Cricetulus griseus: one gene and its partner. Each later gene encodes a partner of the first gene's protein in a complex. Links are inferred from orthologs where the notes say so. Each region holds a gene or a part of one and is shown on either strand. Other genes may lie near its edges.

Evidence for each region. The genes of interacting proteins can lie anywhere in the genome.
Region 2: the proteins of Il22ra2 (region 1) and Il22 are in contact, whole or in part, in a crystal structure (PDB 3G9V), measured with the Homo sapiens proteins. The link is inferred for Cricetulus griseus from reciprocal best matches to the Homo sapiens genes IL22RA2 and IL22. Residues at the interface, in NP_443194.1 of Homo sapiens: Lys65, Ile66, Tyr99, Gly100, Gln101, Arg102, Trp104, Gln128, Glu129, Pro130, Tyr132, Met148, Pro150, Arg151, Thr153, Trp155, Trp156, Glu157, Glu200, Pro246, Met247, Leu248, Asp249, Arg250; in NP_065386.1 of Homo sapiens: Phe47, Gln48, Pro50, Thr53, Asn54, Phe57, Met58, Lys61, Ser64, Leu65, Asp67, Asn69, Thr70, Asp71, Val72, Arg73, Leu74, Lys162, Gly165, Glu166, Asp168, Leu169, Met172, Arg175, Asn176.

Annotation. Positions count from the first base shown.
Region 1 is NC_048595.1:270,154,899-270,159,137, reverse strand, and holds the start of Il22ra2 (interleukin-22 receptor subunit alpha-2), read left to right. Parts: upstream 1-1,390; coding exon 1,391-1,448; intron 1,449-3,553; coding exon 3,554-3,689; intron 3,690-4,239. UniProt on the Homo sapiens protein: Isoform 2 is a receptor for IL22. Binds to IL22, prevents interaction with the functional IL-22R complex and blocks the activity of IL22 (in vitro). May play an important role as an IL22 antagonist in the regulation of inflammatory responses.
Region 2 is NW_023276806.1:138,230,949-138,235,138, reverse strand, and holds the start of Il22 (interleukin-22), read left to right. Parts: upstream 1-1,364; coding exon 1,365-1,553; intron 1,554-1,937; coding exon 1,938-2,003; intron 2,004-2,120; coding exon 2,121-2,264; intron 2,265-3,135; coding exon 3,136-3,201; intron 3,202-4,190. UniProt on the Homo sapiens protein: Cytokine that plays a critical role in modulating tissue responses during inflammation. Plays an essential role in the regeneration of epithelial cells to maintain barrier function after injury and for the prevention of further tissue damage.

The DNA of each region.
Region 1 (4,239 bases):
ACCCGCCCCAGCAACAAAGCCCCAGTGTCAGCAGGAAATACTCATAAAGATTGCATCGCCCTTTATTTACTCATTATCAACAAAAGCCTAGATGTTGGGTTTCAAACCAAGGACAAATGACTGGGATTTCTATTTAACATATCTAAGTGGACCTGGCTGCCAGGTTCTCCCTCAGTCCTTACCTGTTACAGGGCCCTCCTGGCTGGCATGCCTTGGCCTCTACTCGGAACTCTCCATTCCAGAGGGTTGAATGGCCCTTCCCTACATAATCCAACCATTTTGTTACCCACTCTCTTGGTTACTTTGGGCCTGCTGGCTGCTGCACCTGGTCCCCTTCTCTCCCCTCTTCTTTCCCTCCCCCCTCTCCTCACATGGCTCAGGGTCATGTCCACTCTGGACTCTCCCAGAAGTTACTGTCTCTGGCTATGCTCTCTCTCACATATCTGAAATAAACCTCCTCCACCATACCTAGCAGCAGTCATATCCTTCTTTTTTTTTTTTTTACATTAATATACAATGAAAAAGAAGCCAGAGTGCATTTCCTCTTTTGACCTCCAGTCTCTTCAAAGCAGAAAAAAAGCAAAGCAAACAAAAAACCTACGACTTTGTTGTGCTTATATGCATTTTTTAAATGTCCTTAAAAACACAGGGGAAATTTTTTGGTAGAGCAATATGATGATGCTTTGACAATGAGCAGAGGAGCTGGTTCAATCTGATTATATGGGTGCTAGGAACCAGATTTAATGCAGCTCATACTAACGGTCTTCCACAATCACTCTCTTCAGGCATCACTTGGTTTGGCAACTTTGAAGATCTTCCTTGAGTTTAATTGCTGAAAACTGTGGGGTAGAAATAGGAAAGGAGAGACATTTATTGAAAGGGACTCAAGGCCACCTTGGAGAAGAAAAAGCTAAGAGTATATATAGCATGGGGCTCTGTGGGGAGTCATTGTCAAGGGGCCTGAGGCATAAATACCAGAGTGACTAACTGAGAAGCTATAAAAAAAGAGTTGCCTCTTTGAATAGCTGCCAGGGGCTGGGGCAGACACAACTGCCAAGTATATTACTCTAAAGTCCTCCTGGTCCCCAGAAACCACCCTTACTCGTAGAGCCGAACTGAAGATTCATTTAACTCACCTTGCATAATTCCTGTCCCACCCTGCCCTGAGGACCTCAGGATTTGCTATCAAACTATATTATATTTGTTAAGAGATTCCTATTAGTGGTAAAATAATGTAACAACATAAATTTCTTTTAAGGAAACATTTGCCATTGGTTGAGCCCACGGAAGTGACGGTCGGTCCATGTGTGGATTTTTACAGTTCCCTCTTCTCAGCAGTCTCCACACTGAAAGGAACATTGGTTGCCAGACAGGCACACTTGCAACCATGATGCCGAACCATTGCTTTCTAGGCTTCTTCATCATGTCCTTTCTGATCAGTGCAAAAGGTAAGTACTTTACTTCCTTCTAATTGGCAAACTTTGAGTCTGATCAAGACAAGGTTAACAATGGCTTGGATGATTTTCTGGACTCTGTCATGTCACCAAATGGTCCCAGCAGGTTAGGGGAACAGTTTCTCTCTGCATCCTGAATAAGTAGCTCCACAGGTACCTGAGTTCAGGACAGAGAAAGGCCCCTTCATGGTAGAAAGCAGTTCATTACCCGATACGAGACTTTTCCTATCTGTGGAATGAAGATTGGAGGTTACTGTGGAGACTTAGAGTTAGTGTATATGCTTAGAGAAGCGCCCCCCCCACCCCAGAACAGAGACCACAAGCAAATGGCGTTTACAAAGAATTCTTCAAGAACAGTTTATCAAGACAAATTGCTCAGAAAGGCCCCTGGAGTCCCAAAGTCAATAGATGGGAACTCTCACTTAATGGCTTAAGTAAGTGCCCACAACTATGCAGTTGTTCTATGACTCTACATTAAAGTGACCCCAGCCTCTACCAGACAGAAATATGGGAACTAGAGTAGGCTATTCCTCTTTTCTGTGGTAGCAAGGACTCATTTGGCAGGAATTCAAGTGCTGGCAAAATGACCCTGCTTTAGCACACCTGTAACCTTGGGAATGATGTGTAACTTTGTTGTGCCTGTATCCATACCTGCAAATGCAGTAATAATAGTATCTCTCTTATGTAGTTGTCTGGGTATAACTTGAAAAGAATGAGCATAGCCTCTGATGAATATTTCTATCTGTTCACTAATAAGCATCAAGAAGGAAGAAATTGAAGGAGGCAAAGGCTTATTATTATTGCATTATTCTGCCTCCACCATCAGCTCCTTCTCATCCAGGGCTTTACTTTTAGTTTTCAGTAGTAAGAAGCAGGCTGTTGAGTCAGCCTGGGCACAAAATCAGCTTTACCACCTGCTCCTGGGCAGATTCCTTCACTTCTCCAAGGCTCATTCTCTAGACCATAAGAGGAAGACTTCCCCGGTATCTTTAGCATGGAGGAGCTGGGCATGTTCAATGAGCAGATGACGGAAAAGCCCCTCAGTGCTTTGTGCACTGAGTTGTTACTGAGAAGGCATGGTGACAGTGAAGCTGTTAGAAAAACCCAAGACAAGTCCAGAGACATAAGAGACAGAGGGCAAGGAGCCAACCATCTTCAGGTTAACAAGCCAAGTCTGGGTGGGTCTTCACGAAACTGCCTGCCATCTCCTGATAATTTTTATGTGCTAAATAGGATTAATCAGGTAGTGATTTGGGTGCACAAAATAAGCCGTGGTAATAGACCTTTTCCAAGTCCATAGCAACATTCATGCATGGCAGGAGGCCTTCAAAACATACCAAAACAAAAAACAATGTCAACACCATCCGTGGAAAAGAAAAAATACCCAAGGAAACCATCCTTTTCTCCCTTGCCAGAAACTTGGGCCCCTGAAATAAATCTTATTATAGATCTCTTTTCTCTGTAAGATTAAATGCAGGTAAAGGTAGGTCACCCTTGTCATATGATTTGAAGAAGAAAACACAAATAATCCTTCCATGCAAAGTCTTGCCCTCTCCTGCCTATGACTTTGCACCCTCACCAGAGCCCACAGCAGGTCTTGGGTAATTCCCCCACTAGTGTGGGTTGGTGAATCTGGACAACTCTTCTTGAGTACTTGTAGCAAGTAGACAGACAATTGGTCTTTCATCACAGTCATTACATCCTATCACTATTTGGGAATAAACAAGAGATTATATTCTTTCCATGAGTTTTAGTTCCTTTACCCATTGGGAAGTGCTAGGGGAATGGTATCATTACCTTTCTTTTTCTAGTATGAAACACATCCTTCTGCAATTTTACTTTAGACTCAGGTGTAGCTCAGTGGCAGAGAACTTGTCCTGAGTTCATTCGCTAGAACTGGAGAAGGGAGGGGACTTTCATCATGCATCAAAATCTCATACTGAAGAGTTAAAAATGTTGATTTTTAATTCTGTCACCACTGCCTTCCCTTAGAGTGACTCCCCAGGGGCTCCTGATGCAGAAAATACATGAAACCCTGCTGCTGCTCACAACAGTAGTGATCACAGTAATGTCCAATGCTGTCCTTCTTGCCACTTTAGGAATTCAGCCCACCCATGGATCTCTGAAACCTCAGAAGGTCCAGTTTCAGTCCAGAAACTTCCACAACATTTTGCGCTGGCAGCCAGGAAGTTCCCTCACCACCAATGGCAGTGTCTACTTTGTGCAGTACAAAATGTAAGTAGATTTAGTTGGCGGGGAAGGCCATGGAGTAATGCATTCTGGGATGCAACGGAGTGTGAGGAGCTGAAGACCTTTGGATTTTGCTTTATTTGGCTTTTTGAGACTTTCCAGGAGGGTTGAGAAGAAGCAGAGGTGGGGACAGAAGGTTGTCTGGTGACACAAGGGTATGACGATGTGTGCAGTCTTTAAAACAGATACTTCAGCTCTAAGGAGCTCAGAAAGGAGTCCTTCAGCTTCATGCATTTCCAGCACATGACGGCTTTCAATTTGTCAAATGAATGTTGGCAGCTACTTGCTCAGACCAGAGCAAATTCTCAGTTAAGAAAAGCTACTGGTGGTTGCACTTGAGGCAAACATGGAAACATATAAAACATATATATAAAATATATAAAACATATATAAATATATAAAACATATATATAATATATAAAACATATTTTTAACTGGTAAGTTTGTGTGTGGGCAGGTTTACTATCTAGAATGGCATTAATGGCTCTGTGAGCATGTACACACACTAGGACACACAGCAGCATGCTCCTCTTGT
Region 2 (4,190 bases), on another chromosome or scaffold:
TGTCTCTCGCTTTTGTTTTCACAGGGGCATCTCTATGCTACATCTGCATTCTAACAGCAATCACTATTGATGTCCTCTCTGCAACTCTTGGGAAACCTACAGACAGCCCCAGGTTGCATTTTTGTTTTAGTGACTCTTAGTCACACTCATGAAATACCTGTATGCTAACACTGACATTAATGGTCTGTCCACTGGTGAATATGACATATGGTACATATGTTACTATTAAAAACTATTTTGCAATTCTCTGTTGTCTTTTTCTTTTTTTCTTGCAGTTATTTATTTCCTACCCAGAGACAAGAGTGAAGCTAGTAAGGAGAGTCAGGTCAAAATTGAAGAAGAGCCATGAAGGCAAATCACCTCTATTTTTTGTGAGTTTGAGGCTAGCTGGATCTACAAAACAAGTTCCAGGACAACTAGGGCTATTAAACACAGAAACCCTGTCTTGAAAAAAAAAAAAAACAGAAAAAAATGTTTACTGGATTGTTCACTACCAATATTTCCAAACTTAAATTGATCCTAGTTATGATTTTATGAGTAAATCTTCATTTTTTCACCTACCATAATTGTTTGCTCACTCAAAAACAGTCTCTGTATGAGCATATCTGTGGGAATGGAACCCGTGAGAAAACAGTTATATTAGCCAACACCTGTTATTTTTAAAAACTAGTTGTAGTTAAGCATTCTGTATACTAAAAAATGGGATAAAATTATACTAAAAATTGAAATAAGCTCCAAATTTTTGTCATTGCTTATTTGAAAGCACAGAATATAGGGCATGGGTCTTTTATTTCTGGTCACTTCTAAAGAGATAAGAATCTATGAAGTTGAAAGGAAAATGAGTTCGTGACCAAAATGCTGACTCAGTTACTACAGGAGATCAAAGTTGATTATACTCAATCAGAATCTACTACAACAAAGCAATTGTTTTCTTTGAAAAACATGTAGAGTTTAGAAGATTTCTGGGATTTGTCTGCAAAAGCACCTTCTGGGCTCATACAATGACGTTTTAGGAAAGGCTTCATGTCTCAAGGTGGGAAGGCTGGGAGGCGGTGTTCTGTGGCCTCCTATGGTGGTTAGGGAGTTCTCAGAAGACAGAACTGGAAATTAGATAATGTCTGATGTCATATGGTTCAGATACCCAAAAATCGGGTGTCCTATGGCTATAAAAGCAGCAACTTCTGCCTTACCCATCACAAGCAGAGCTACCGAAACAGGTAAGCATACAGACTGATGCAATGAGTTGATCTGTTTGGTGGGAAGCTATCCGACTAACTTGTTTCCCTCATGCTTTTGCTTCTTGTTCCCTTGTTAGCAGGTTCTCCTTCCCCGGTTATCAATTGTTCACATTTAAGTTGTCTGTGATGGCCGTCCTGCAGAAGAAGTCTATGAGCTTTTCCTTTATGGGGCTTTTGGCTGCCAGCTGCCTGCTTCTCATTGCCCTGTGGGCCCAGGAGGCAGTGGGACTGCCCATCTCTTCCCACTGCAAGCTTGATGTGTCTGATTTCCAGCGGCCATACTTCACCAACCGCACCTTCAGGCTGGCTGAGGAGGTACATAGGCATCTCTCTCTTCATGTCTACTGGGGATTCAAGGGCCCCTTGCCATTTTCTCTGAAGCACTTTGTGAGCTCTTTAGCCACACTTTGTTTCCATAGGTGGAGACTTTCTATGTCTCTTTAGAGACTTTTTGAGGACCTGATCTTAATTAGAACCTTTTTTCTTATATTTGGCCTTTAGGATTCATACACTACATTTTATCCATAGAGGAGCCATGTGAAAGTCACCTATTATTGACTTTTTCACTTCTCTGTGCACTGTTCTAAACTCATACATTCAGTGGCTGGCCATTAGCCCCTATGGTAGCATACATTTCTACTTACAGGCTTTTCTTCTACATCCTTGTCAACCAGGCTCTTAGGCTTTTCTCTCTTCCAGGCCAGCCTTGCAGATAACAACACAGATGTCCGACTCATTGGAGATGAACTGTTCCAAGGAGTCAATGTAAGTTCTCTTCATGAGGAGCAGGGAATGTATCCATCTCCTGATTAGCTGCAGTACTTGATGGATCCTGTGTGATGTCCTGTAATGTAACCCTTGCTGCTTCCTTTCTACCTTCAGAGGAATAATCGATGCTACCTGATGAAGCAGGTACTCAACTTCACCCTTGCAGAAGTGCTGATTCCCCAGTCAGACAGATTCCAGCCCTACATGCAGCAGGTGGTACCCTTCCTGACCAAGCTAAGCAACCAGCTCAGCCTCTGTGTAAGTCTTTCTCTTAGCGGCATCCATCTCCTCTCCTCTCACCTTCTTCCCTCTTCTCCTATTCCAATTAGAGTGTGTGGTCCCCTCCTCCCTCCTTCCCAACCCTGGCAGTGAGACTGGCAACTAGGAGGACCTCAGTAACATCGGAGGCCACTTGAAATCAGTCGCAAAGTGATTGCTTTGGCTTTATTTGAGTCATAGTTTGAGTTTGTAGGGGTAAGGCCTTATTAATTTTACCTGTGGAAAGAAAGCAACTTGACCTATGCATAATGAGAAAAATGCTGGGAACTGTAAGAAAAAAGGCCTAGATGAGGAAATATATCCACTGAGTAGAAGTTGTTGCGGGGAGGGAATGGCACAGAGCAAAAGTCAAAGGGGAAGAGGACGTTCTTATGGTTAGGGGTGTGCGTGTGAGAAGCGCACTCCTTTTTGTTCAGACTGGAAGTTAAGAAATGTCAGTGTATAAGCTTGATACCCCAGACACCCTAAACTGTGAGCCATGTCCATGAGGAGTTGGTAGGCTGAAGGGACCTTGCATTGACTGGGAGGACCCACTTTTCACGTAAGATGCTTCCTGCTCATTTCTTGTGCTTTGTTCCCACCTTTGATGAGGTTCAGTTTAGGTTTCTTGCTGCTGGTGGAAACCTCAGTAGGCTTCCCCAGAGAAGAGGACAGCTCTTCTGCAAGGGAAGTACCTGGATTTCAGTGTCCCAGAGAATCTAGGTCACCCAGTGAAATCTAGGTCACTGTGGGCAAAAATTACTAAATATCTCCATTCCAGGTGAATGGTCACGTGTCTTTGATGCACTGAGGTATAGGCTTTCACACGACAGAGATTCCATTAGTGAGTGAGTTCTGTCTTATTTTGCAGCAAATCAGTGGTAATGGCCAGCGCATCCAGAAGAATGTACAAACCCTGAAGGAGACAGTAAAACAGGTACTACTGACGAGTGATATCATAAGCCATTTAACAGGAGAAGCATAGCTTTCTTTCTTCGCCTTTTTTTTCTCCCCTTCCTCTACTTTGTAACATTTTACTTGATTCCTCTACTATCTGATCCATTACTTGCTGCGTGTGCATCTACTTGGGCCTATATATCATTTAGCCTGTTTCTAAATCTGTAGGTCATAAATTCTAGTAGAAAACTTAGCTCAGCTAGTGTCATTAGCCTGGGCTCTGAGGACGGTTGGTGGCAGAGCCAGTGCTGGAACTCCTGGGTTCCTGCTCAGCACTTACATTCCAGCAGGTGAATGAAATTATTTTAGCATAATTAATTTGACAGGAAAGTCTTGGCTCCCATTTACTCATATAATTTGAAGAAGCATGCATTAGGTTATTAAACTGATGCTCTAAAATGTGACAAAAATCAGAATAGTAGCAAAAGAGCTGGACTTGTATATACGATGAATATTTGGAATCACTGACATTAATAACTATAACCAGAATTATAATATAGTGCCTGATAGCTACCGATTGAAGATTAAACACAAGAGCAGATAACCTTCCAATTTATTTTACATGGTTTCAAAAGTGAAAATATCAGTCATGGATTTATTACAGGGAAATAAATTTTCTTATTTTTTACTTTCACACCCTCAAGACGCCACTATTGAGCACTTCCCTACTGTGAGCTAGTGCATAGCTTTACAGTGATCAACATTGCTGCATGGCCCCTTTGGGGGGAAAGAACAGTGGCAGGAGGCTCAGGTCAGGGAGCATGACTCACCCTAAAACAGAGGCATGATTGGCAGCAGTGAAAGTGAGGCTTTTCTAATTAAATACTCAGAAACAAAGAGGCTCTGGTTGAAGGAATTATTAGTGCTATGCCTGGTCTTATCGGTCTTCTATCTAACTTAACTATTTTCTTCTTGAGCACAGTGTGTTGGACATGGCTGTTTTCTTCTGTCGAGTATTAAAGGCTTTGC